Linked DNA regions of Mus musculus: regions 1, 3 and 4 are each reported to be linked to region 2. Evidence: microRNA targets listed by miRTarBase, many of them from high-throughput screens and not tested one by one. Region 2 holds a microRNA gene; each other region holds the end of a gene's coding sequence.
What was found. The annotated mature microRNA mmu-miR-362-5p reads AAUCCUUGGAACCUAGGUGUGAAU and lies in region 2 at 4,928-4,951, opposite strand. An mRNA with a match to its seed (bases 2 to 7 or 8) in the 3' UTR can be bound and repressed. Matches are read on the target gene's strand: a 7mer-m8 pairs with bases 2 to 8, a 7mer-A1 pairs with bases 2 to 7 and ends in A, and an 8mer does both.

Region 1: miRTarBase lists Mmd as a target of mmu-miR-362-5p. Seed matches in the 3' UTR shown: 8mer at 2,540-2,547.
Region 3: the mRNA of Pnn is a reported target of mmu-miR-362-5p. The part of its 3' UTR that is shown has no 7-base or 8-base seed match.
Region 4: the mRNA of Bmp2 is a reported target of mmu-miR-362-5p. Seed matches in the 3' UTR shown: 7mer-A1 at 5,450-5,456.

Annotation. Positions count from the first base shown.
Region 1 is chr11:90,275,831-90,282,955 of GRCm38, forward strand. Mmd (monocyte to macrophage differentiation-associated) reads left to right here. Exons shown (of 7, transcript NM_026178.2): 7 at 833-2,743. The coding sequence ends at 1,033. Among named protein-coding and RNA genes, the nearest start is that of Mmd, 30 kb to the left of the region's middle.
Region 2 is chrX:7,237,092-7,244,216 of GRCm38, forward strand. Mir362 (microRNA 362) reads right to left here and starts at 4,955; the gene lies at 4,891-4,955. All of the region lies in intron 2 of Clcn5 (chloride channel, voltage-sensitive 5), which reads right to left. It overlaps Mir500 (microRNA 500), which reads right to left and starts at 683; the gene lies at 592-683. It overlaps Mir501 (microRNA 501), which reads right to left and starts at 4,260; the gene lies at 4,152-4,260.
Region 3 is chr12:59,071,887-59,079,011 of GRCm38, reverse strand. Pnn (pinin) reads right to left here. Exons shown (of 9, transcript NM_008891.2): 9 at 4,995-7,125. The coding sequence ends at 6,199. Among named protein-coding and RNA genes, the nearest start is that of Pnn, 8.5 kb to the right of the region's middle.
Region 4 is chr2:133,560,594-133,567,718 of GRCm38, reverse strand. Bmp2 (bone morphogenetic protein 2) reads right to left here. Exons shown (of 3, transcript NM_007553.3): 3 at 4,823-6,845. The coding sequence ends at 6,004. It overlaps Mir3090 (microRNA 3090), which reads right to left and starts at 3,011; the gene lies at 2,925-3,011.

The DNA.
Region 1 (7,125 bases), not on the chromosome of region 2:
TTGGCCACTGGGACCATTGGGCCACATGGACTAGCTCCAAGGCTGCTGGCATTCGCACCCAGCTGTCTGCATTCTTGTTCCCTTCTAAGGGCTGGCTACCCTCTTGGTTTGGCCTCTGCTTCTCCCTCGGGCACCGCCCCTTCCCCTGCAGCACCAGTCTCTTTATAGTTTACTCTGTACATGGGTCTGGGTCTTTGGATCTCTCGAGACAGCCTTAACAAAAAAAAAAATCTTGCTTTTGACTTAAAACATATAGGACTTAGATTTAACACCCAGAAGCATGGGGCAAATTAGGATATCCCTAAGACAGTGTGATGTGTCCCTTGTCAGTAGTAAAGACTCCCTTAATTCGTACATGCTGCAAAGATCAGAGGGAGAAAAACCCAATCGGTACATGTGGTGAGAGGGAGGTGAAGGCGTGCAGCAAGCCTGGCTAAGATATAAATTATAAACCAGTTTCTTGGGCCTGTCAGATGGAGAAGGAGGCTTCCAAGGGGTAATCTGGTACATGAAGGTCACTCAGCCTTGGCAGGCACGTCACGGCTAACCATGATTACAATCTGCTTAGGCACAGTTAAATGAGCAGAATTAGCACTGTCTTGTGGAGCCTATAATGTGTGCAATGATCGGATCCATGTCTGTAGATCGAGAGGGTCAAGCTGGTGAGGCATTTACAGTTGCTTTCTGTTTACAGATAAGGATGTTGTTCACTGCGATTTTAACTGTTCAGAAAACCAGGAGATTTCTTGGGGGGGAGGGAGGGGCAAGGGCAGTAACTCACATCAGAGTAACATCAGATCTTCTTCCCCCACCCTCCCATCTCTGTTGACAGAATAACACTGACGGACTTCAGGAGCTCGCCTGTGGGGGATTGATTTACTGCTTGGGAGTTGTGTTCTTCAAGAGCGATGGCATCATTCCGTTCGCCCATGCCATCTGGCACCTGTTTGTGGCCACGGCAGCTGCCGTACACTACTATGCCATTTGGAAATACCTGTACCGAAGTCCCACAGACTTTATTCGGCATTTATGACCAGTCTGTGCTAGGTTTTCAAATCAGTATTATCACGATGGAGGCACTTGGGTGGGGGGAGGGGCGGGGGGAGAACTGAATGTCGCACACAGAAGAAGAGTGAGCAAACTTGCACTGACTTCGTTTTAATTTTTTTTTAATATAATTACTGTGAAAGTATAAAAGCTGTGTCTCGGAGTTTTCCTCTTCACAGGCAACAGATGAGGTAGTGAATCAATTCTTCATTCCATTCCACTATCATGAAGGACTCGGGAGAGACTTGGCCAACTGATGTTTACAAACCAGAAATTTTTGTATTTTTCTTTTACAGATTTTAACTACGATGATTTTTTTCTAAATTAAGTAGGTCAGGTTGTCAAAGTCAGTGCAATAGTAATACAACTTCCTTTTTAAGAAAACCCAAAGTTGTTTCTATCACGTTTCCCGTTCACTGTGTAAAAGAATCATGGAAACTGAACACTACTTTTTACCATGTTTCATCTTGACATAACATGGTTATTTTTTAAAAAGGAGGCTTTAGTTCTTTTGTAAATTTTTAAAGAAACGATTCCATTGACGCACACCCCCACTGGCTCCTCATCCATGCGAGGTTTTTGCAGCAAACGGTCAACATTCCACGAACAAACATTATACCTCTTCTGGCAGTTTTATTAAGTGTGGAGAACTTGCCAATTTTTTAGAAACACTGCAGTTTTTTCCAACCTTTTCTGCCAATCTCTAACCCTGAACTCAGTGCTGCTTTGGGCTGACATCCATGACTGGTGTGGGCCACCAGGAGTAAGACAGTAGTGTTTTGATACCATCCACTTTTTCAGAAGACATAACTTCGCTACATGCCTTTGCCCCAGTTTTTCTCCAGGGTCTCTCTCCACAGTCGGGGAGGATCCTGTCCGGATTATGATAGTATTATTGGGTTGCCCATCTGCCATGAGCTTTCTGAATCATGGCGAATTGTATTTGCCACTTTGGTGCCCAACGGTTCAAGTCATTGTGGTTAAGCCACTTAACTTTATTGTATGAGTTTGATATTCATTTTAATTGTGGGACTAGACACATAAACTCACATTTCTGCCTTTTCCTCTGCATTTCTCAATATATTATGTTTTTCTCACGCCATAAATAAAACATTGATTGGCAGGTTGAAGCTTGTGTCAGTTGTTGATGGGTTTTATGCTGACTCTGTGGAGTGATATTTATATATTATTTTTAGTTTCCTCTCAATGTCTTATATTAAGATTGATGTATTAGTTGCTTTGTTGGTTAATCTTTCTTGGTGTTTAAGAGAAATGAAGTCACCTTGCCTTTAGATCAGATGCTATTATAACCTGTCTGTCTAGGAACAAGCTGTCAGACTAAAGATATGGTTTATTCATTGAAATTCTGGACAGCTGTACGTTTAAAAGAAAGTTTATTTTGTATGTGTGTCTAGGCTCTGATTTTTGGTAAATTGTAAAGGAACAACTGAAGAACTGGTTGCTGGGGATGTCTTCAGTAGTCAGGAGTACCCAAGGATAACACCAGCCACACCGCTGTATATGCATGATTCTGAACAGTTAGCCGCCTGTTATTTTACTGTGTATATTTGACTTTAAATATATTAACTTTTTGTGGATTCATTTAAAGTCTGCTCATATGCAGCACTGTCAAAACCACTAAACTGTATTTGAGAACTTGTGCTGTAGGTTAGAATAAAGTTGTTACTTGGGTTGACTCCATTGTCTGGAGCATATGGCTGAGAGTAATGCTGGGTGTTTGAGTGCTTGAGCGAATCACACATTTGTAATTTGTGTAGTAGTCTTCCAAAAAATCAGTATGCAGAGGGAAACAAACTGGCCCTTTCATTTTTAACTTTCTCTCTCTCTCTCTCTCTCTCTCTCTCTCTCTCTCTCTCTCTCTCTCTCTCTCTCTCTCTCTCTCTCTCTCTCTCTCTCTCTCCTGACTTGAGCTAACTCAAGCTTCATTCTGGTTACAGGGAGTGTTGATGTGACATGTAATCTCAGCTCATTTAGGAAACTGGTCCAGGAGGGTTTCAGTGAGTTTGAGACTAACATGGTCTACACAGTCCCAGCTAAGTAGGGAGAGATTCTATCAGATAGATAGATAGATAGATAGATAGATAGATAGATAGATAGATAGATAGATAGATAGATAGATAGATAGATAGATGAATCTGATTTTGTGTGTGTGTGTGTGTGTGTGTGTGTGTGTGTGTGTGTGTGTGTGTGTGTACATAACTAAACAACAGTAGTCACTTTTAAAAGGCCAAGCCCCACAGTTTGAAGAGATCACTCCATGCCTGCCTGCAGCTCTCTCGGATAAAGAAAAGACTGTCTGTGCTGAGGTCTAAGTGTAGCCCCCGGTTTATAGTCCCAGCCAGCACCTGGCTCCTCCACGCTCTTGGCCACGTATGCTATTGAACTAAATCACTTGATGTGAAACTTCCCCTTAAAGGTTATAAAAAGCCCAGTTTTCCGTTGTTCGGAGATTGGTCTAGAGACTTCCCTGGGATTTGTTCAAGGAAGAGCTCTGAAGATTGCTCTCTGAAGAGGCTCTTCTGGCCTTCTACCACCCCCCTCTCATGGCAGTACACTCCTGAGTGCTCCCTCTCTCGGTCTCTCTAGATCTCTCCTCATTTTCAGTCATAGTGAAGCCCCTCTCCAGGTTTAAAAGGAAGCTGCGCCTTTCCTTTAAGACCCCTGTCACTGTTCACTCTTCAGGATATGTGTATATGTGTGTGTATACACACGCGTATACATGTATATGTGTATATATGTATGTATATGTATACACACACATTGACAGAGATCCCTCTGCCTCCTGAGTGCTGGGATTAAAGGTGTGCACCACCACCACCCAGACTTTTCCAGTATATTATAACATCTTTTGTGTGTGTGTGTGGTTTTCTGAGACAGGGTTTCTCTGTGTAGCCCTGGCTGTCCTGGAGCTCACTCTGTAGACCAGGCTGGCCTTGAACTCAGAGATCCGCCTGCCTCTGCCTTCCAAGTGCTGGGATTAAAGGCGTGCGCCACCAGGCCCAGCCATATTATAACATCTTTAGTGCCATGTTCTTTTCCTCTCAAGGCCTGAAGGATGGATGTGTGTGTGTGTGTGTGTGTGTGTGTGTGTGTTTAGATATGTCTTTACGTGTGTGTGTGTGTGTGTGTACATATATATATGTGTGTGTGTATATGTATATATGTGTGTGTGTGTGTGTGTTTAGATATGTCTTTACGTGTGTGTGTGTTTAGATATGTCTTTACGTGTGTGTGTGTACATATATATATATGTGTGTGTATATGTATATATATATATGTGTGTGTGTGTGTGTGTGTTTAGATATGTCTTTACGAGTGTGTGTGTTTAGATATGTCTTTACATAGGAGAACTTTTGCTTATCTCAAGCAAGTACTCCATTGTGGGATTCAGATTAAAAGCTTCCATATGCCCAATGACTAGATTATACTTAACACTATAACCCTAACCACGACTTCAGTAGTAGATATAACTCATTCTTGACTTTTTTTTTTCTGATGCTGGGGGTTAAACTTTGTACCTACACGCTGGACACACATTTTACCTCTGAACTACTCCCTTGACCTCTCTCTGTAGTTTGGGCAGTAAGAGAGATGACTGCTTCATTCTAAATGGAGGAAGGGATCTAGGTCCGCCCGACTCCACAGCCTCACTTTTGTGGTGAACCACTGCATTAGACTAGAGTCAGCAAAATCAAAGGACTTGAACTGGACATTCACCAAGCATGGACACGAGAAAGAAAACAATGTTCATATGGCAAAGAGCCTTCGTAAGGATCAAACAATCTTTCCATAGAACTTTGAAGTCTTATTTCCAGGAGTTTTCTGTTCTCTAGTTCCAGGATTCTATCATGTATTTCTAGAGTGCCCACCCACCTGGTGATGCCCCCTTAATGTCTCCCATCAACATTGTCTTTAAAGACTAGGTCTTTCAAATGAACAACCACCAGTCCACCCGCCCTCGGTTTCTCTCACCACCCTTCCCTACAACCAGTCTTCAAGGCTGTAATCTGTGCCTTCTTCATCCCTCCACAATGGGGTTCCTCACCTCTCTCCCCAACTACAAGGCTCTAGCAAACCCTCAGAGCAATGCTGCCACCCTCGTATCTCTACCCAGGCTGAAGCATCTTTGAACAAATTCAGCCCCCACCCTGCCTCCAGCATCCTTTTCCTAACATAAGACCTGCACATGACTGCTGTGCTTAGAACTCCCATTGCTAGGCCCAGAGATGCCTGTTCAGTGCCTCCGTCTGAACTCTTCTCACAAAGATGCTGTCTGACCTTGCCTCTTTTAATGAAGCCCAGGACAACCCTGCAGCTGGTAACTTTGGCAACCTCACAACCCAATGCCTGTGCCCACTTGTTGCTTTAGAGTCTGCTGCAGCTAGGCGTGAGTTGTACTTACCGAAACCCTGCTTAATCGGACAGCATGCTCAGTCCCACCTGCCTCGGGATGCACACAGGTGCCTGGCATGGTTAGATGTCTTCCTGTGTAAGACAACAGCTTTGGCATCCCTCCACAGCTTGTCACATATTGATGGTGTTTGCTATCTCCTGGTTTCTCGTCCTGAGAAGGAAGTCTGTCAAAAAAGAAGTGAGTCTCGCTCTACCTCTGTTCTTAGCTTCTAGTGTCAAGCCGGGCTCAAGGGGAGAGTTTGTTGGGTGAAAGAGAGTTCCCAGGAGATACGGTGTTATTTAGATCTCAGAGGTAGGCTTCTCTGGAATGGTTGGAACCCGACTTTGAGTTTCAGAAAGCTTGTATAAGCCACAAGGAAATTGGGGAACTGGAATGTGAACGTTAGACACTATCCTAAGTAAAGAAAAGCAACACTTGTTTATCAATGCTTTCATAAAACCCAGCAACAGTTTATGAGCTTGGAAAATGATTCCTGCCTTCCTTATTTCCCTGTGGCCCTTCCTTCTTTTCTGACTTAATAATAAAATGAACAGAATCAGCACTTGGTTCTGCGTCCCTGGAGTCTTAATGCAGATTATTCTGAAAAGCAGTAACTCTAAAATTACTTATTGATATTATATAATATATTTTTATCCCCACATCATGCAAGTGTATGGTTCTAGAAAAAATATACAAAAAATTTAAATGCCTGAGTTTACTCATTTGAATACTCATATACGACTAGTCCATCTTCTTTTCCCATATTTATAGGATATGATTTCTGGGTTCTTTTTTTAATATTTATTTATTTTATGTATATGAATACACTGTAGCTGTCTTCAGACCCACCAGAAGAGGGCATCAGATCCTATTACAGATGGTTGTGAGCCACCATGTGGTTGCTGGGAATTGAACTCAGGATTTCTAGAAAAAGAGCCAGTGCTCTTAACCACTGAGCCACTTCTCCAGTCCTGGCTTTTGTTTTATGCAGCTGTCTATCCCATACATAAAAATTGTAGGGGCTGGAGAGCTGGCTCGGTGTTTAAGAGCACATGTGGCTCTTGCAGAACCCTGTCACTCCAGCTCCAGGGGAACCCAATGCCTTCGGCTTCAGCAGGTACCTTCTTCATTCATGGGCCAGAGACATAGATACACATACACAGAATTAAACATTGCAATAAGAACAAATCCTTTAAAAAAAACATTTACATGGCACTGCATTTTCCACACTTTCTTTCCATACAGGTTTAAAAATATTATATAGCTCTCCGCCGGTAAGATAGCACAGCAGGTCATGGCATTTGCTGCCAAGCCTGGCCGCCTGAGTTCCATTGCTAAGACCTACACAATGCAAGTAGAAACACAGCTCCTCAAAATTCTCCTCTGACCTCCATGTGTATATTGTAACACATGTTTAACACACACACACACACACACACACACACACACACACACACGCTTAACATCATTTTAGTCAGCAGAATATTCTTTTCTTTTTGCTGCCATGCTGGGATTTTAAACAGAGATCTCCTGCATGCTGAGAAACAGAGCCAGAATTTTCAGTGTCTCTACCATTTTTCCAGAAGTGAACATTTTGCTCGTTTCAGAATTTTTAGGTTTCCTTTTCAATATTTTATCATTATGAACAGTGATGCAAGGAACTT
Region 2 (7,125 bases):
AGGCATTTGAGCTTGTACTCTATAGATATCACTATTTGAGGTCATTACTGTGTCCATGTACACTGTTGATCCAGATGGAGTTTGTTCCTAAAGGTGCTCACCAGAGACTACATGCAGTAATCTGGCCCTTATTGTCCATCCATTACCATACTCTCAACATTAAACTGAATGCCCAATATACAGTAGAAACTAGACATTGGGGAGGGGAGAAGGCAGATCTAATAGTTCTTTGTCCTTCCAGTGAATCTTTAGCTAGAAACCATGTCTGAAACAATACTCACCTCTAGGCTGTGAGGAAGTAGAAAAACATATCAGGTTTGAACTCCTGACCTCATCCTGTATAACCATACAGGACAGAATACAGAGAAAGCCTACACACTCCAGGTACCTGAGTATTTTATAAGTTAGCTGTAGAAAGAAGCCAACTAGAGTACCTGAAATCTCTTAAATAATCTGTTAGGGGGTTCCCTGGTATACATGACTCACTCAAACAACTATTTTACTCAATAGAGGGAAGGAAGGGGGAGGGGGAAAGAAGGAGGGAGGGGTAGGCTGACACACAGGGTCTCTGGTCCTTCTTGATGCAGATGAGCTCACCTTCTCTGAACCCTTGCCCAGGTGCATTGCATTGAGATAGCACTAAGCACCCAGATAGCAAGGATTAGAGAGGGGGAGCAGAGGAGAAGGACCAGGGCCTTGAGTACTCAATGTGCAGGGGGGGAGGCGGGGGGGGGAGATGGGGGGGGCGGGAAGCACTGTACTATACACCAATATGAAAGCAGAAATGAGAAGTCTTACACTTTGTGTGTTTCTGTAGATTAAAAAGTCCCATTTTGTGACTCACCATCAACTGAAAACATGGAGATGCCACTCCCTACGCATCTCTTTTGAGGGTGAGAGCTAGTCTATCTTGGGGACTACCACCTGCTCAGCATGGTGTCAGCAAATTTGTACTTGTTGGGGGAGAAATGAGAAAGCACTGATTTACAGGTAATTGCCCTTCTATAAGGAAGTAAAAGGCCCCTCTAACCCTCAAAGAGTAGAATGTTGTCAATGAGATAACATTCATATCTAGATGACAAAGACAACAGAGAGGGGGAGGCAAGCAGAAGACTTTATCTTGACGTTCATACCACATGTGTGTGCACAGGTATACTCTACGTATGAACAAATGAAGAAAAAGCCTACATTCCAATACCCTGAGCTCATTTCTAACCTCGGAAGCTATATCATGAAGAAGCTTAATCTCCATAGGCCCAGTAGACAGTAGAGCTAGCATTTCAGACAGCTTAGTTCACTGCAGCACTACCAAACATTAGGAATTCAATCGATCTGGATGACCAGAACAAAATACAAATGCAAGCAACCTGTTAAAAGAGCAAGAAAAAGAATGAGAAGTGGTGCATAGGCTTCTCCTATAAGTATGTAAGGCTCAGGGTTTGTATTTTTGCATAATCCCAGTGCACTGATAAGAGCATTCATGCAAAGCAAAATGGCACAGCCTTTAAATACCAACACTCAGGAGAGTAAAACAGGAAAATTATGAAATTGTAGCCAGCCAGACTATATTGTAAGATTTTATCTGAAAGGGAATAAAATAAATGAAATGAAAAAAAAAACATGCATGCCAGGTCTTTAACAACAGGCAAGGGTGAACAAAACCTGGGGTTTAGTCACCTATACAACAGATGTGCATTTTTAGTGTGTAAGAAGAAAGTTCAATGCACATAAGCATAGACTGCGATTATGTCTCCTCTCCTGCCTTTTAGGTATTCAGAGAACTACATCTCTACTTCCATATGTCACATGTGCATCCACATGGAAACACACACGAGACTGAGAGCTCTTACTTCCTAGCTCCCTGAATGACTGCTCTCTCAGTAGGAAAGCAAATCTCACCACACATCCCTCCTCTGGAGAAAGCTATGCTCTTCAGCAGAACACTCCTGCAACAACACATAGCACAGCATAGTGAACAGTCAACATGTGCTAATTAAATCACCTGGCAGAAGATTCATGATGACAAGGCCCACTCTCATGTGTAATCCATGCACACAAGGAAGTGTTTGAGTTGGTTTTGGTTTTGTACACCAATTATGTGTCTGTCTATAATATTAGGTACATGCCTACAGAAATCATGCTACGGTTTCTCTCTCTTTGTTGCATATTCATTTGCCCACATGCCATCATCAAGTGTGGGAATGAGAAGGCAGGAGAGACCAGCTGAGCTTCTCCCAGACAGCCTGCATGAACATACATAAGAAAGAAGGGAACTCTTTCCTCTCTAGCCCCTCACCTGGCTGGATTCTGTGATTATAAGATTTGAGTGATCATCAGAATCAACTGGAAGGCTTAAAGAGAATATAAACTGCTCTGTGTTATGACCTGATAGGTCAGGGGTGGAACTCCGCACTTTGAATGCATTCCCATGTGACGGTGATGCTGCTGATTCAGGGATCCTGCCTTGAGAATCACCACTGTAAATGGCCATTCAGAACATGAAGCATCTGGACACGGTGGCACATCAGACCTATAATCCCAGCACCCAGAGCCTGAGGCAGGTGAACCAAGAGATCTGGGCTACTCTGGAATAGACAGCAAGTTCCAGGCTGGACTAAGCTACTTAGTTAGACCTCCCTCATCTGAATAAAAAATATACATGATATAAAGACTACTATTTTTAACATGAAAGAGATTCACTTTTCTTTTGGGATCACATGTTGCCCAGGCCAGCTTGCAAATGTGTGTAGAAAAGTATGACCTATGGAGGTGGGTATAGGAGAATCAGCTTGAGGGACAGAGCTACACAGTAAGACAGTAAGCTCCTGTCTTCAAATGGGAGTAGTGATGGTAGTTGACAAGAAGTCACTTAGTCTACTGGTCTTCGGGCTGAAGGGATGAGGAGAGGGAACAACACAATAGGCTCCATATCCACTCTTCCTGTGAGCGAGTGACTCCTCTCCACGTAGGCCCATGTGTTTAGGCATATCTAGGGCCATGGGAGGGGGAATAGTTTGAGAAATCTCATCTATCAGACCCTGCACTGAGTCATTCATACAGAATAGAAAACAAGGAACAATAGACCTAGGTCATTCTTTTGAACAGCAGTTGGTGAGTCTATAATAGTCAAGGATCTTAGTGTGTTTATTAGTCTCCTAAGAGAGTAGCACCTCTGTTCATTTTGTTTCCTGCTACATCCTCTATGACTAACAGAGCTGTATCAAATAGTGCATACCTGAATATTTGTGAAAGGAAGGAAAAGGAACAGGGGTGTGGACATATAGGGGCTCTGTCCTTTAAAGTGCAGGCGAAGTGCCACCCTTTGGATTCCTTGGACAGGACTTACTATTGAAAACAGCACTTGTGCTGAGGATTAATGTTCCTGATGAATCAGGTCAGATAATCCTCTCTGTGGGCACAAGTCTGTGAATCCTCTCCTCTGTATACACTGCATTTATATGGGACTGTGTTAAAATATGGAAGAATCCAAGTGGACAGTGTACATGAAGTCCCAGTCTACAGTCCACTCATGCAGGCATAATGGATGTGACACAGCTCACTCTCCCTGGACCATTTGCTCCCTGAACCACATGTGGTTCATACTCCTGTGGACCAAATCCCTAGTTGAGTACCTGCCATACTGAATAAATAGACAGGAAACAGTGGAAGGAGGCGTAAAGGTCCTACATGAAGATAACTCAATGTCTGAACCCTTGCCCAGGTATATTGCATTCGCAAAGCACACTCATCCAAGTAGCAAGTACTAGAAAGGCACAGCCTGCACCTATGCCCTTGGCATGTGGGTTCAACAAGAAGGCTTACTGTTCTTGCCCTGTGCATTCCTCCAAGAGTTGAACTAAAGAAGAATTTCTCTTCCAGGTGTCGGTATGAGAACTAGAATGAAAAGCTGCGCACTTATGTCAATACACAGTTTACTATGTGCCCCACTTGTTCTTGATACCTGTTAGGGTCATAAGTGGAAATAAAGTTCTACCTATAAAATCTAGGTGGGAAGAGGCCAAATTTGTCACATTTACTCTCCCATGCACCATGCCCGTTGTATTTGTAGAAGGAAAGAAGGTGGGGGGAGGCATAAAAGAAGTATGCAAGCAGCAAACAGATGAGATATGATGCACAGACCTCCTGTCCTTCTCCATGCAGATCAGGCTCACCTTCCCCAAATCCTTGCCCGGGTGCATTGCATACAAATAGCATTTTCACCCAGGGACAAAGGATTAGAGAGGATGAGCAGAGCAGAAGGCCCAGGCACCTGTACCATGTTTGTGTGGTTCTGTATATAATATTTAATTTTCCTTGTCCTGATTCAGCCAAGCATCACCACCTATACCCAAGCTTGACATCCCTGATTTATATATGTATCTGCCCCCTTCCCACCATGAGCATCCTCTCTCAGAGAAAACTTCTACGTATACAAAATGGTATCTCTCCCAGATCATACTTGAGAATTTGTGGGGGCCTGATTTATGTTTGGAAGGTAGCAAGAAGGCTGGGATCTGAGAATGCATATACATACTGAAAGAGGGCACAGTGGAGGAGGATACTCCATTCCTTTCCAATGCCTTTATACAATTCAAGCTTTGTGGAACAGGGGTTATCACTGGATGTAACAAACGGGTTGCCTGAGTAGCAGCACCTAATGTGTGCTCCTCATCACATGATCTGACACTTAGCAAACTGGGAATCAAGAAAGCTCATGCTGAGAATAGAAGCATGTCTACCAAACATGATAAAGACCATTTTGCTGTTAGAAAATGTGTAGAACCAAGTCTGACAGCTAAAACCAAAATCAAATGGTGGCCAGGAGGAGGGAAGGTGGCAGGTGAGATGTGCAAGTATGGGCCATTCTACACGCAGACAAGGCTCAGCCTCTTTGAATCCTTGAACAGGTGTGTTGCACTGAAGCAGCATTCACACCTAGGTTCCAAGGATTCGAGAGGGGGAGCAAGCAAGAAGGCTCAGGAACCTGCCCTTCCTGTGTGTGGTCAATATGCTTGTGTGCAACACACTAAAAGAGAACGAGAGATGCGCTCTGTCCTTTACAAACACAAAGGTCTGGCTCTCAGAATCCTTGCTGAAGAACACTCTCACCCAGGTAGCAAGGATCAGAGAACTGAAGCAGGGCAAAAGGCTCACAGCAAATGAACGCATGGGCTCACCTTTGACACAAGGTGCTTATCTGTGATGAGAAAGAAGACAATGTTCTTGAGCTTCACATTAAGTATGTCTAGGCACCTGAGTTCAACTCCCAGCCTCCACATAAAAGAGCCAAGCGTGAGGACTCAAAGAAAGCTAGATCCCTTGGCCTAACTGGTGAGTGCCAAGTCCCTATTAGAGACTGTTTCAAAAAACAGGGTAGATGTCCCCAAAGGGGAAGCACCTCAGGTTGACCTCTGCACCCTCCACACACATACACAGAAAGAGAGAGAGAGAGAGAGAGAGAGAGAGAGACAGAGTGACAGACAGACACAGAGACAAAGAGAGACAGAGACAGAGAGACAGACAGACAGACAGACAGACAGAGACAGAGAAACCTGTCTAAATATATACATTCATATTTTGTTCTGAGATTATAAAAATATAAAGCCAGAGATACAAAATACTGAAAGAAAAAAAGACAGAGAGACAGAGAGAAGAGGCCATAAGCTCACAAGATGGCAGTAGAGATTGGCATCCTTTAACACACATCAGCATCTTGTTAAAGTTACTTCAGATACCTGGAGGACTTGGTACTAAGATAACTTACAGAGGTTTCTCATTAGTGAGCTCAAGATTTTGTATTTCTAAAAGGGGCTGGGTGATGCTGGGGACCTTACCAGCATCATGGATAAGACAGAGAAACTGTGGAGTTTGGTATCTACAAACCCTGTTTCAAACCTATACTTCACCATGTACTGGATTAAAGAATCTACCTGCTTTCTCCAAGGTCATGGACTACTTCTAAAAAATGAGAATAACAAATGCTATCTCTTTAAAGAGTACCAAAAAAATTAGGTAAGATGCAAGCCTAGAGTAGGATGCAGGACCTGGCCCCTGGCTATTATTTTTACCTCTTACACTACCATTTTTGTACACATGTGTCTAAATGAATGTCCTGTTTACAATAGTATGGTCATACTCATATATGCAAAAGCCAGGTGAAGGAGGCATGAATATCAGTGACTCGGAGAATCTGTAAAAGGCAATGCAAGGACTGGCTCTCTGGTAATTCTTCTTCAATGTGCCTAAATCAACGAAGTTCACACCCCTTTCTGTGAGGGATATGAAAGACAAAATCACAAGTTTCAATCTTTCACTTTCCTACTATATGTCACAGAGAGTGAAGAGAGTCAGGAGTAAGGAGAGAGGGGAGAAGTAGAGAAGGGGGGAGAGCGAATATAAATGAATGACAGTAAGGCATTTTTCTCTATGAGAAAACAAGTGTATCAAACAAAAGAAACCTTCTATGCTCACGGGCCTATATATGATGTACACCTAGCTATAGATGGGCTTCATTCATATTTGTTCTCCTATCTACCCAGCTGATGCAAAAGCATATCTATGACTGTCTAGGTATGTGTTTACAAAAATGTCAGTGTTAACAAACAAGTATACCTTCCTATAACAGCTCCGTCAAAGATGAAAACCAAGAGAGCCCACTACCCTTCCTTAGAGGTGTAAGAGAACAAGGTTAGGGGAGCAGGACTCTGTTCCTGCTAAGCTGTCAGTGGGCCTCTGCATTTGAAGGTTGCCTATGTGTGCTGAGAACGTGATGAATCAGGTTTGACACTTAGAAAGTGGAGGCTAAAGTAAGGAAGTGCATCCTGCAGCTTCTCAGGCATGTATATGTGATCGTACACAGTGAGAATGATTTTCATCCTCCTGTATGCACATGCTACAAAGACTGGACTGCCCAACTTACCACTGGCTCCACATATCAGCACACTATCATACAATCAGAACTATAGTCACATACTACATGGTGTTTGGTAAGCCACAAACTACATATACAATAGTAGTCACATAACATTTCATCACCTAGTAATCCTTATTAGTTTAACTATACACTCCCATGGTGGTTTAATAAAAATTGCCCTCACAGGTTCATATACTGGAGTGCTTGGTCCC
Region 3 (7,125 bases), not on the chromosome of region 2:
AAAAGAAAGAAATATTTCCTTAAAAAAGCTTATTTTTATTCCCCAAGTTAATCAGGGTGTTTGTGGTAACTTTTTGGGGGGGGGGGGTTTGAGACAGGGTTTCTCTGTGTAGCCTTGGCTGTCCTGGAACTCACTTTGTAGACCAGGCTGGCCTTGAACTCAGAGATCTACTTGCCTGCCTCTGCCTCCCAATTGCTGGGATTAAAGGCGTGCGCCACCATGCCCGGCCCTGTGGTAACTTTCTTCTAGGTAGTAACCCAGAGATCACAAATATATCCATTTTGTGAGTTTGCATCCTAGATCATGTGGCCTCTGAAATCATCACAAAAGTGGAAGAGAAAATGAAAAAAGCCTTGTATGAACTTCCATGGTCCAGCCTGAGAACATATCCTCTTTACCCATCGACACTGCAGAACCAAATCACATGGCCACAGCTAACTTCCAGGAAGGGAGAGGTGAGTGCCCAGGAAAGAAAAAGACTCAGCCTTATTTAAGCTAGCTTCTCTCCCTGCACCTCTGCAGGATGCTTTCCAGCAGATTCGCATTGCTAGTTCTACACCAGTCCTACTGAAGTATGCAGAGCACTTGATTGCCTCAGAATTTCACTAACAGTTATGTCAGGGGACAGTGCTACACACCTTTACTCCCAGTACTTGGGAGGCAGAGGCAGACAGATCTCTGGGTTCAAGGCCAGCCTGGTCTCTAAAGTGAATTCCAGAAAAGTAAGGGCTACACAGAGGAACCCAGTCTTGGAAAACAAAAACAAACAAACAAAAACAAGTAAATTTTAAAATGATAAATAAATAAACATTACAGTGTAATTTTGTTCACATTGGTTACAACTCTGAATCAAGAGTCCTAAGCCTAGATACCGTGTAGGACGGACGCTCTGTTCCACCCTGCCTGCTCAGAGCTGAGTCATATGCTTTCAGTTTCAGCAGAAGTCAAGTCTGATGGATCTTCAGGAAAGCTTAAGAGTTCCAAAGGTTAAATGACTAAACAGAAAATTATCCTGCAACCCCACCCTAAAAACAGGTCAGAAAGGACTAAGGACAACATGCTTGACATCTAGAAAAAGTAACTTTGCATTTGTTCCAGGGTATAGAATTATCAAACTATCAAGTTTTAAGTTAGCATCGTGAAGTTGGCAAGATGTCTCAATGGATAAAAAGTGCTTGCTGTCAAGTCTAAGGACCCGAGTTCAATTCCCAGGGTCAGATGGTAGAAGGCGAGGACCAATCCCCCAAAGTTGTCCTCTGACCTTTACACATGCTCCATAGCACACAGACCCATACACACACGAAATGAATAAACATTTAAAAGCAAGGTAGAGAATGATAAAGGGAGACACCTGAAGTCAATCTCTTGCCTTCACGTGTATATACATCCCCCACACACATGTACATGCATGAGTACACACATACACTGGCATGTGCACACACACACACACAAACACACAGACTTTCAAAATTATTCTCGGCTACATAGTGAGTTCGAGGCCAGCCTGAGATTCACAAAAAGTGAGATCCTAAAGGGGGGAGGGTCTGTGTCTGCATTTATGTATCTGCACTCATGCATGACTGTTGTCCACAGAAGCTAGAAGCCAGCATCAGATCCCTTGAAACTAGAGAGTTACAGGTGGTTTTGAGCCACCATGTAGGTAGGTACTAGGAACAGAATCTAAGGTCCTCTACAAGAGCAGCAGGCACTCCTAACTACTCAGCTTTCCCCACAGCCCCAAAGATTGTTTCTTATTTATACTAGAGTGATAAACATGAAGTTAGCATTAAACAGCTAACCTTTGACTAAGCCATCGAGAATCTGATGACACATCCAGGTTTCTGTGCCAATGACAGAAGAGACTGGGGAACTACAAGACCATGCCTATGGCTCTCTGTGAGTTCGTGTCTATATATAAGTAAATAAACTAGGCACGCAATGAAAGCAGAAAGCTCTAATACCAAATTCATGCAAACTCTGAGGAACTTAGTAAGAATGAAGAAAACCATCAAAGGTTTCCCATGGTCTATAGTTGACAGGATGCATGAAGAACTGAATCTCTTTCTGTTAAAATTGGTCCAACACTCTAAAGATGTTAATTATTTGTGGGAAAACTCTGAAAATTAAGGGCAAAATCCACCATGACCAGATAGACTCTGGGCTTAATGCAATATGGAAGACTCCCTTCATTAGCAGGGCTTGTCCTTCTCTGACCTTGTCTGGGGGATTCTTAGCCCCTACATAGAATTTCAGTAGCCTCAATTAGATTACAGGGCCAATTTCCTTTTTCCTGAGAAAACCTGTTCAGGCAGCACCTGAGATGGCTGAAATACTTCCCCAATGCTAATGAGGCATTCCAAGTACCTAAACCCCCAGCCAATGGCCTTTGCCTATCCTGGATGTTCCTATCCTCAATCTCCCCAAAACAAGCCTTGAAGCATCTTAAGTAAAGTTGATCTGCCTCCTGATAGCTGTATGGTGCAGTCATTCACCGTACATAGTCACAGAGCTTCCATTTCCCTTTGACATCTCTGTTCTCACTGCCCATGTGGACTGAGTTGACTGTTGATCCACGAGAACAGTGAGACCCACAATTATTCACAAGTAAAAATTAAAAGTTAATACAAGCACAACTAAAGTTAACAGTGAGTAGTGGTGGCACAGGCCTTTAATTCCAGCACCTGGAAGGTAGAGGCAGGCAGATCTCTTGAGTTAGAGGCCAGCCTGGACTATAGAGTGAGTTCCAGGGTAGCTAGAGAAATCCTGTCTAAAACAACCAAAATAAATAAAAATAAATCTTTTGGGCTCTTGGGAAATTATTCTAAAGTTTGCATGAAAGCTAAATGTAAGGACTAGAGAGATGGCCTAGCAGTTAAAATATGTACTCTGCTAGGTGTGGTGGCACACGCCTTTAATCCCAGCTCTCGGGAGGCAGAGGCAGGTGGATTTCTGAGTTCGAGGCCAGCCTGGTCTACAAAGTGAGTTCCAGGACAGCCAGGGCTATACAGAGAAACCCTGTCTCGAAACAAACAAACAAACAAACCTCAATTCAAGGTGGATCAATACTGAAGACTAGAAATTAACACCTAGAGTTCTACATAGCACAGTAGGGCTACTGTGGTTGTATTATTACATAATTCTATTATTACAAAAGCTAAGTTTGTTCCCTACATGTTTGAGATAACTTTTAAACCAACGACCCTGAACCATACTTAACCCTTCTGCCTCATTCTGTTTAGGCATCACAAGCATATATTATCATATCTAGTCCTATCTAGTATGGGGATCAAATGCAGTGCTTATATATGCAGGCAAGCCCTCTACCTGGGAGTGGCATCCCCAAGCCCTGTGTTTTTAAGAAGTTTACTTTTACATTATGTGTGTAATGTGTGCAATGTGCACGAGGGCAGGTGCTCAGAGCCCAGAAGCACCGGTCCACCTGGAGCCAGAATTACAGGCAGTCAGAAGCCATGGAGCCTGATCCTCTGGAAAAGCAGTATACACTCTTAACTGTAGAGACATCTCTCCAGCACCTCTAAGATCTTTTTAGTCTTCTACACCTCAAGAACTAAATAAACACCTCATTGGAAGGGTATGAAACCAATCTCCTCTACATTTAGTAAGAATTATCTATAAGTTTCCAATTTGCCTCAACTATCTCTAGGTGCTTTCATTTTAGGTATATTTGAAAAAGATATTTCTATACATGTACCATGATACATTCAAAGGTATTACTTATTATCAAACAACTGCAAACAATTTAGAAGCTAGTCAATAGAGCTATATGCTGCAAACCTTACTTTGAATGACTCACTTACAATCAGAACATGGAGGTCCCAGAGGGCATGGATGGGTCAGTTCCGCGAATTGCTTTGAGCTACTTTTCTCTATGATCAATGCTTATTACTAGCAAATACATGCTACACTATTTGGTAATAAGAAAGTGGAGGAGAGCCGGGTGGTGGTGGCGCACGCCTTTAATCCCAGCACTTGGGAGGCAGAGGCAGGTGGATTTCTGAGTTCGAGGCCAGCCTGGTCTACAAAGTGAGTTCCAGGACAGCCAGGGCTGCACAGAGAAACCCTGTCTCAAAAAACCAAAAAAAAAAAAAAAAAAAAAAAGAAAAAGTGGAGGAGATATGTGACCTGGGAGTTTACCCCTGGCTTCCATTCCCATGATGGCCACAACTAACTCCAAGGCACAGACAAGTGTTGCTTCTATATGGAATGCCTTTGCCCACTTAGAATTTAGGTATATCTACTAACAGAAAAGGGATTTCAAAGTCTGTTATTTCCCATCAGAGGGATGAATGTTAAACTCTAGTCATTTGGGTCTGGGGGTTAGAGCTCAGATGTAAAGTACCTGCTAACATACTTGACGCCCTGGGATTGATCCCAGGCACTATGAAACGGGGGGAAGGAGGGCATTGCTGTGCTTATGAGTTTGACAGTGAAGGTTGCAAAGATAGTAGTACCATAGTATGTATGCTTTAAATTAGAAAACAGCAAAATACTTAAATACACAAAACCTTAAAATATCCAGAAATGAGAGCTTTAAAAAAAATTTTTTAGGGTGGTTGTGGTAATACACATCTTAGGAGGACCTGTTTGTTCCTCAGCCTCCACAATGAACAATGCCTCACTCTCACTCTGAGGGATATAATGTCTTCTGGCTGCCTTGGTGCCTGCCTGCACACGCCCACAGACAAAACATTTAAGTAAAACATGTTATTGAGTACTCCTTTCTTGGAGTCCCCCTCCCACTATGTGCTAGGGGAGGGCTCCTGTCATTTCTAATCTAGTCAGTCCTTTACCAATCTGTCTCATTGCATAGCACAAGGCCAAAGCATTTTGCCAAGTACAAGCCGTTGGTTAAGCCCGTCTTGGCATCAGCATGCTTTTGGATGTAAGTGGTTCACTTAATCCAAGAAAAGGATTTTTAAAAATAATTCTTTTTCACATTTGCTTTAACACATGAGTGGTTCAGACACAAAACTAAATGAAGATATTTGTTCATTTTTCACTGAAACCATTTACTTATAGACAATATACTGAATATTTAATATCAGGCTAAAACTACAATGTTAAAATAGCCACTGTCATTTAAATGCTCTCATATGCATCAAAACTTTAATACAAGTACTAATTTTAAACAGTCACAAGTCTAAGTCACATTTATTTGCACATATATAGTAATGGGCAACAGATACTCCAGGTCCATACAAATTTATAAACAACAAAGTTAATAATCACTTGGTACACTTGTGTGTTATCTTGTTTACATATTCAAGTCTAGATGAACTTCCTTCATTGTGTAAACTTCCATACAATACTTCCTTAAACAAAAATTCTTGAAAACACAGATTGGCATGTTTCAGTTATAGCCAACAGAAAAGACAAGACCACAGATTCAAAAACCAAGTTTAGAAGAGATTTTTACCCGACCCCCACCACCCGGGAGGTGATAACTATAACAGATTACACTCTAAGTTGTTATCACACAAGGAGCTGAGAGGACAAGAGAATGTTGTTCTATAATCGTGAAATGACAACCAAATCGTACGGTTGAAGTTATCTACCAACTGAATGGTTTTAATGAAAAACAGAAAAATGCTTAGATTAAAAACTGTAAGATAGGAAATAAATGTTTTAAAAGAACTATTCCCTGTCAAAGCTGTAAAAACCTGGCAACTGTTTTCAGGCAAATCAAAGTGATGAAACCTTCAAAAACATCCTAATCATGTTCAGTATCTTGTGACAAAAACTGAAAATGATATAAAGATATTTATTATACAAGTGTCAACAAGGACATCCCAAAAATAATGAAAGATGCATATTTATTTCTACAAAAGCAATGTATGATACAGAACATAAGGAACAATTTAAAGATTTACCTATTAAAATATACGGATTCTGACTGAACAGTAATAGGGTAGTTAAAAAAGATGACAAAGGATGTTAATCTTTTTTTATTATTATCATTTTTACATATTTTGGAACCTCACATAATTTTGATAAATAACTCTTACAAAATTATGCAAAAAGTACAAGAATGTCTGGTAAACAAACAGTCTGTATTCTCCAAAAAGAATTTTTACAACATGCAATTCTTAAGGCAGCATCCTCTTTACAAGGTAATCCTTTTACTCATCAAGACATCTTCTGCTGCAAAGAATAGGCTAAGCAAGCCTGGCTTCTTCATTAACGCCTTTTGTCTTTCCTGTCTGATTTTCGGTCTCTTTCACTTCTTGAAGATCTTTTGCCTGATCGACTACTCTCTGATATAGACCTTTTTCTGTCAGGGCGGGAACTCTTATCCTTTGATCCTTTTGTATCTCTACTACTACCACCTTTTGAAGACTTGTGACTTCTTTCTAGTCCTGAAGTATCCCTTCGCTTCCGGTCCACGCTCCTTCTGTGCTTCCTATCTCGGTTATGTCCTCGGCCCCTACTGCGACTCCTACTCTCACTGCTACTGCTAGTGCTGCTGCTGCTGTCTCTGCTGCTGCTCCCACTCGTGCTGGAGCTGCTGCTGGAGCTGCTTCGACTACTGCTGCTGCCACTGCTGGAGCTGCTCCCGCTGCTGCTACTAGTAGAGCTGCTACTGGAACTACTGCTGCTGCTGCTCCGACTTCTACTCTTGCTTGTTTTATTCCTTGCTCGCCCCCTGCTCCTGCTCCTAGTCTTATTCTTGCTTTTGTTTTCTGAATGTACTGTCAAGACTGGCTCTACAGACACCTCAGGGAGTTTTATAGACTCTAGAGGAAAATCCTTCCGCTCAGGTAGTAGATTCCCTTGCTCCTGAATAACCTGAGGTGGAGGCTGCAAAACAGCTAATGGCAAAGTCTCAGGCTGACAGAGAGGCTGGGACTGGAGTACAGGCTGGGGCTGGGAGTGGGGCTGAGAATGGGGCTGGCTCTGGGGCAGGGGCTGAGGTGGGGGCTGAGGCTGAGCCACAGGCTCAGGTTGGGGCTCAGGTTCTTTCTCTTCTTTTTCCTCTTTCTCCTCAGACTCCTTTTCCACTTCCTGAGAATTAATATTCTCTTTTCCAGGAGAAAGAGATTTACATTCTTTATCTGGCTCAACATCAAATTCCATCTCTGGCTCCAATTCTTTGCTAGTTTCATT
Region 4 (7,125 bases), not on the chromosome of region 2:
AAATTAGGCTTTCACGAAGGTTTTAGAAAACATTTTCAATACCATCTATCAGGCAAAAACTTGGGGTCGCTTCTTCGAGACAGGGCCCTCCACACCCAGGCTTGGTGCTTCTAAACATTGCCTCCAACAGGAATCACTCCCTGACATTGAAACAATTGGAGGAGCTTGGAGCCGGAGCTCAACTTTACTAGTGATTTAAAACATGCCCTTGGAAACCAAGTTAGCTTCCAGGTGGGAAGCAAGTTCCAGCAAATGGGAACAGCAGTTAAGAAAGCTTTCAGACAATCCTGAAGGAGCCAGACTTCAAAACACTCTTCAGGGTGAGGGAGATGGCTCAGTAACTAAATCGCTTTCTGCACAAGAAGAAGCAAGTGAATGAAGCGCTTTAGCACCCACATTAAAACATAGCTGGGTATGGTGGGTAATGTGTCTGGACCCCAGTGCTGGGGGTACACAAGGGGCGGAGACAGGAGGATCCCTGGGGCTCGCTGGCAGACAGCCTAGCTAAACTGATGAGAACCAGGTTCAGTGAGACGCCTTTTCTGAAAAACCAAGGCCCAGAGCTATTGAGAGAAACACTGGATGTTAACCTCTGACCTCCACACGGCTGTGCACACATGTGCACGTGCACCTGAATACACATGTGCAAACACATGATCGCTGTACACACACACACACACACACACACACACACACACACACACACACAATTTCTACCAGTAAGCTATCTACTCAGCAAAAAACAGGAAGAGACAAGATCTTTGAAAGAAACCTGCACCTTCCCCATAAAGTCAGAGATAAAAGAGTTCAGCCACTCAAAATTTGTCGTCTTTAAAAATGCCTTTTGAATCGCTAAATTTTGTCTGCTTGGTTGTCTAGCAACCAAGTGCTGAACAGAAACTCCACCCAAACACAGTGAAGCAGCACATTCAGTTCATCAGGCTATGTGCATGCATGTGCGTGTGTGTGTGTGTGTGTGTGTGTGTGTGTGTGTGTGCATGTAGTGTCATCAACGTCTAAGATAGAAACTTGCTTGCATACAAAGAAGAGAAAGTCTTGATTGTAGATGGTACAATGACATGGGAAGCGAGGAAAAAGCAACAAGAAAATGTGCAATGCGGGATGAGGGTATAGTTTCCACACACTGGGCTAAGGCACGGTTTACACTCTTAAGCAATAAAAACAAACCATTAAGCGAGGCCCAGCCCCGTCAGGAAGTGTAAAACAGTTCTTGAAGCTTTGCAGTCGCTATACAAACGCTTTTCATAAACTCTGCTTCCTGATCTTCATTAAATGTTAACATCAAGTTGCCATGGGGCAATTAGCTTGCCTCCTGAAATCAATAAAAAATCAACAATTTGGAAATAGTTGTACAGTAAAATAGTTCAATAATTATTCTCTCATAGTGTTGTGGCCAAGCGGTTCTAGGGTAAATTCGGTCCAGATGAGTTCCTGCTCCTTATGAGGAGAGCTGTGAGCAGATCGGGGCTTTGCTGAGAGACCTCCTCATCAGAATGGACTGCAACAGTAATGGACTCCCAGCAATGCCTTGGCGAGGGGCCCAGCACACAGGCAAACACAAGCTTTTAAGTGCTGTTAAAGTCAGCGTATGGTGTAGCACCTCAGAGGGTCTCCATTCAGAGTTTAGAGACCTAAACAAAATGATAAATCCATAGGGATTGGCCAAGGGGGTGGGGTGGGGGACGGTTGATGCTCTTGCCTCAGCATTCAGACTCTAGACATGAGCAAACGAAAATTCCTTCAGAGATGTGCATGCATGTGTGTGCATGCGTGCATGTGAACATGTGTGCTTGTTAGCATGTACGTGTGTATGCAAATATGTGTGCTTGTATGTGTGTATGTGCACATGTCTGTTCACCCACAGGGATGTGTGTGTGTGTGTGTGTGTGTGCGTGTGTGTGTGTGTGCATGTGTGTGTGTGTGTGCGTGTGCGTGTGTGTGCGTGTGTGTGTGTGTGTGTGTGTGTGCATGTGTGTGTGTGTGTGTGTCTTACACAACAAGATTGGTTGAGATTAAGAATATATTCATCCTGACATTTCTTCAACAAATATTAAAGTCTGTGTTGCTTCTAAGAGTTTCTGAGAGCCGAGTAAGGTGCTGCCCAAGCTACCCTTGATCCCCACAGGGCATTCTGCTAACAAGTGGCATTCATGCCAAGCAAAGCCAGGAAGTTATTTCTGTGCTGACCCTCTTTGCAGAGGGAAACCCATTTTTTTCCCTAGCTTAAGCCCATTCACATAAGCACTTTATTCCAAGCCAACTGCAAAAAAGATTCGAACTTCCATTAGAACAAACCTCCCATACCAGATTTGGAGTCCTATGCCACCCTCTAGGTTCAATGAACTTATACAGTGTACTGTCTTATAACTTAGAAAAAAGTCAAGCATCATTTTAGTATAAACAAATGCTTCAACCATACGACATCTACCCTCTGCCTTCAAAGAGATCCCTTTAACTCAGGTGCTTGGCACTAACATCACACAGGAGCAGCTCAGCACACTGACTTAAGTGTTCAAGTTTTTTAAAGTACATTTCTAAGGACTTGCACCTGCTCCCTCATACATATAGATGTACTGACACGCATTTGACTAAACTGACTGCAGCGTGCCCAAGCAAGCAAGCAGAGCAGATTTTACAAGATAAGCAACCCAGTGTTTTCATGTCTAAGAGTGGCTAGAACATAAGATTGCCACTCATCTTGTTGGGAAAAAGAATGTCTTTGAAAAAAAAAAAACAAAAAACAAAACTGCAGGGCACTGATTCAGATGCCATGCAACGCAGCTTTGCCTTCTGTTTCTTCTCATTTACACATGGCTTTTACACACGAAGGGGCTGTACTTGAGCCAGCTTCTGTAGCCATGATCGAAAGAACAGTCCACACAACCTTGCTACTCAAACTGCAGTCCTCTGGCACAGTGAGTCAGGGTGTCACCTGGGAGCTCATTAGAAATTCAGGATCTCAGGCCCCACCCAGACCACTGGGACAGGAATCATAGGGTGGCAGGACTCCACCACGTGGGCTGTACACACATCAAGCTTTTTTGCTTTCCTGGAGGCATTCCTGATGACTGAGGTGCCCGCTAAACTCTAACAAGTTTTATTTAGAACTTTGGCCCCTCAAGTTAGTTAGAAGTTCACTTTGAAGTTGGTAGGGCGGGGAGCTGGTGAGAAAATTCTGCCCTAGAGGATGTCATAAGGCTTTAAGATATGGTGGCGGGGTGAAGGAAAGAGGAGATGCAATTTATCCAAGTAGATGTGTGTGCCCTGCCCCCTCAACCCCACCCTACCTGTCCCTTCCCCTGCAAGACATAAAACAGAAAAGGAATAGTGCAGGCTGTTGTGACCTCCTCACATATATGCCGATCTATAACGCCGCCCCCCTCGCCCCCACAATATAACCATTCTTTACTGCAAAGCTCTCTTCCTTTGTCCTTTCAATCAAAAAGTAGGGAGGGGCTCAGCATGTCAGCACCCAGTGAATCAGTATCTTAACAGCAAGGCAAGTGACTAGAAATTTGCTAAGTGATTTGGCTCATTTTCGATAGTACAGATGAGTGTTCTCCATCTTAAAAAAATAGAGAGAACACCTGAACCACTCGGGGTATATACCAATGACATAGCTCCATTTACTGTGACGTCTCTCTCTGAACCTAAATGGAAATCAGAAGTGCGACCATCTACATATGTAACATAATCTTCACATAGCTATGTATAAATTAGAACATGTACACACTATATGCACATACATGTATGTATATACCTATATGTCACATGGGGCCTGCTGTGCTACAAGTAATTTTAGCCAAGAAAATCAAGACCAATGAAGCAGAAAATATGTACTGGATAGACCTGCCAGAAGGTGGGATCCTTATGGAATGATCGCACTCCCATCTGGAGGACTTGGAGATGTAAATATGTGGTTCATTCATTTTATAAGATGTTAAGATTGCAGTTTGTTACAGTGCCCATGGCAAGCAAGAGACATTAGAGAATGACTGAAGGACCAGGAGGACAAGGCTACCCATAGTTGGGTCTAATCGTTTCTACCTGTGCAACAACTAAAGGGATAAGGAACACATCAAAAGCTAACCAGGGTAGTCATTTAAAACAAGATCTTCAGAACCTTAAGGTTTCCGAAGGTAAGTGTGCTTGGGGTCATTGCACGGAGGTCCTTGGGAAGAATTTAATTATAACAGTCTGTCTTGCTGTAAGCACACCGCTTTCCAAGTCAGTTCTAAGGCACGGGTCAGGAGAGGAGGTGAGACCTGGGCTTCAACCATGACGGAGGGCTACAGGACACACACTCCGGAAACTGACCTGAAACCCTGCCAGGAACTAGCACTGGATTCCCCAATCTGCAAACAGCCACAAAGCCCTCCCTCCCTAGGTTTTGCTTCCAACCTGAGCACCAAAGCTCTGCCATCATAGAGGACTCACTTTCCAGAACCTCATCTGACTTCACTCTGTTTGAGCATCTGGCCAATTGGTAGATGTGCTGAGACGCTGATCAGACATTCTTTAATTTTTTTAGGCACTGTGGCCTCTGTTGTATGATATATCATCTCTGGAACTTTACCTTGGGTTCTGCAAACTTTGCTTTGATTTAGGCATTGGCTTTCTCTCACTCCCCCCGCCCCCTTATGAAAACTACTAACTCATTGGTAAGTCCTTTGGTCCAACTGGGGTTTGCTTAGAATTCTCCAACCATTTAAGTCATGTCCCCACCCCAACCTTGTCATCATTCACCCAAGAAATGAAAATGCAAACACAGGTAGACACTGCAAACACAAACAAACCATTTGCTCTCACGGGTTAGGTTTTATAGGATGAAATGCCAGAATTTTGATATTTATTATCTGAAATGGGTTTAACATTTGGAGAAATATGTTCAAACACATATCCCTGGAAAGAAAAGCAAGCTGACAGGTCAGAGAACAGGGTGCAGGCAGGAAACATATGCTCAATTTTGCTGCGTGTCAGGCAAATGTAGAAAATTGGGTGCTTTGGAGAATAGAGAGATTGCTGATAGGGTAAACACAAAATACAAGCCAATTTCTGCTTCTTTATGAGGGCCCACAAGATAATCAATTGTACACATATATGACTACAATGTTAATAAAGAAGAAATATTATATTTTATTTAGTACTTTGGCCAGATCAGCCCCCTGGAAGGGATTATAGGCTTAAGAAAGAACAAGATGCCATCATCACTTCCTGACATAGTCACAGTTTTCCTAATTATTCCCACTGGTCCTGCTTTGTTCTTGCTGCAGGGAGGGTGGCGAGAGCTTTTCTATCAGATCAGTAATGTCTGGTTCTTATCCAAATATTCCCCCTAATAAGAATGAAAGTTCTCACGGATTGGACAACCACTCTGCAACATTCCTGAGAATTGAAGAATATAATCTTGAAAGTCAGCAAAGTAGATTATCCTTTTTTTTTTTTTTTGGACTTGAACTTGTGAACTTTAACAGTAGTGCTGCAAGAAACAGACAGCAAGTGTGCAAGCACTTTGCTCAGCAACCTTCCATGTAGACTTTGCATCTTAAATACACACAACTGAAAAACAACTACAATTCTTTTTGAAAATTATATACAAACCCGATATTTCTTCTGATTACATATAAATACAAATTAACTATCTTTTTTCCCTAAAAAGTGGTTATAATAGTAAATAAATACAAAATAACTCTGACCATTATACTTCATGTGCTGGAGTTGAACCCATATAAAATGTACAACTAAATACATTTTAAATCTTTAAGGAATAATTCTCTGATTAAAATATTTGTTTTCCCAACTTCTTTTCGTAGATATAAATATATTTTCAAAATAGCTGTGTTTTTTTCCATTCCATTCCATAAATAAAGTCTTCATTGGGAAATATTAAAGTGTCAGCTGGTTTTTTTGGGGGGGAGGCAGGGGGAGTAGGGTTTTTTCTGTTTCTAAAATATATATATTTATTTATTTATTCTTGCTGTGCTAACGACACCCGCAGCCCTCCACAACCATGTCCTGATAATTTTTTAGCACAACCTTTTCATTTTCATCTAGGTACAACATGGAGATTGCGCTGAGCTCTGTGGGGACACAGCATGCCTTAGGGATTTTGGAATTCACAGAGTTCACCAGAGTCTGCACTATGGCATGGTTAGTGGAGTTCAGGTGGTCAGCAAGGGGAAAAGGACACTCCCCATGGCAGTAAAAGGCATGATAGCCCGGAGGTGCCACGATCCAGTCATTCCACCCCACATCACTGAAGTCCACATACAAAGGGTGTCTCTTGCAGCTGGACTTGAGGCGCTTCCGCTGTTTGTGTTTGGCTTGACGCTTTTCTCGTTTGTGGAGCGGATGTCCTTTTCCATCATGTCCAAAAGTCACTAGCAATGGCCTTATCTGTGACCAGCTGTGTTCATCTTGGTGCAAAGACCTGCTAATCCTCACATGTCTCTTGGAGACACCTGGGTTCTCCTCTAAATGGGCCACTTCCACCACAAACCCATGGTTGGTGTGTCCCTGTGTGGTCCACCGCATCACAGCTGGGGTGACGTCGAAGCTCTCCCACTGACTTGTGTTCTGATTCACTAACCTGGTGTCCAATAGTCTGGTCACAGGAAATTTCAAGTTGGCTGCTGCAGGCTTTATAATTTCATAAATATTAATTCGGTGCTGGAAACTACTGTTTCCCAAAGCTTCCTGTATCTGTTCCCGGAAGATCTGGAGTTCTGCAGATGTGAGAAACTCGTCACTGGGGACAGAACTTAAATTGAAGAAGAAGCGCCGGGCCGTTTTCCCACTCATCTCTGGAAGTTCCTCCACGGCTTCTAGTTTGATCAGGGTGGAGAGAAAAAAGAAACGCATTTGGTAAGAGAGCCAATGGTAACTTAATTCCTTACGAGCATTTAAAACTTCAGTGCATGGTTTAAGTTAAACTACATAAAAACCTGCAACCAGAAATTAAAAATGTCAGGCCTAGAGATACAATGTCTGCCCCTCTGTCCATGGCCCTGAGTTTACTGCTTAACACAACATATATATATATATATATATATATATATATATATATATATATATATATATATACACACACAACATGTATATATA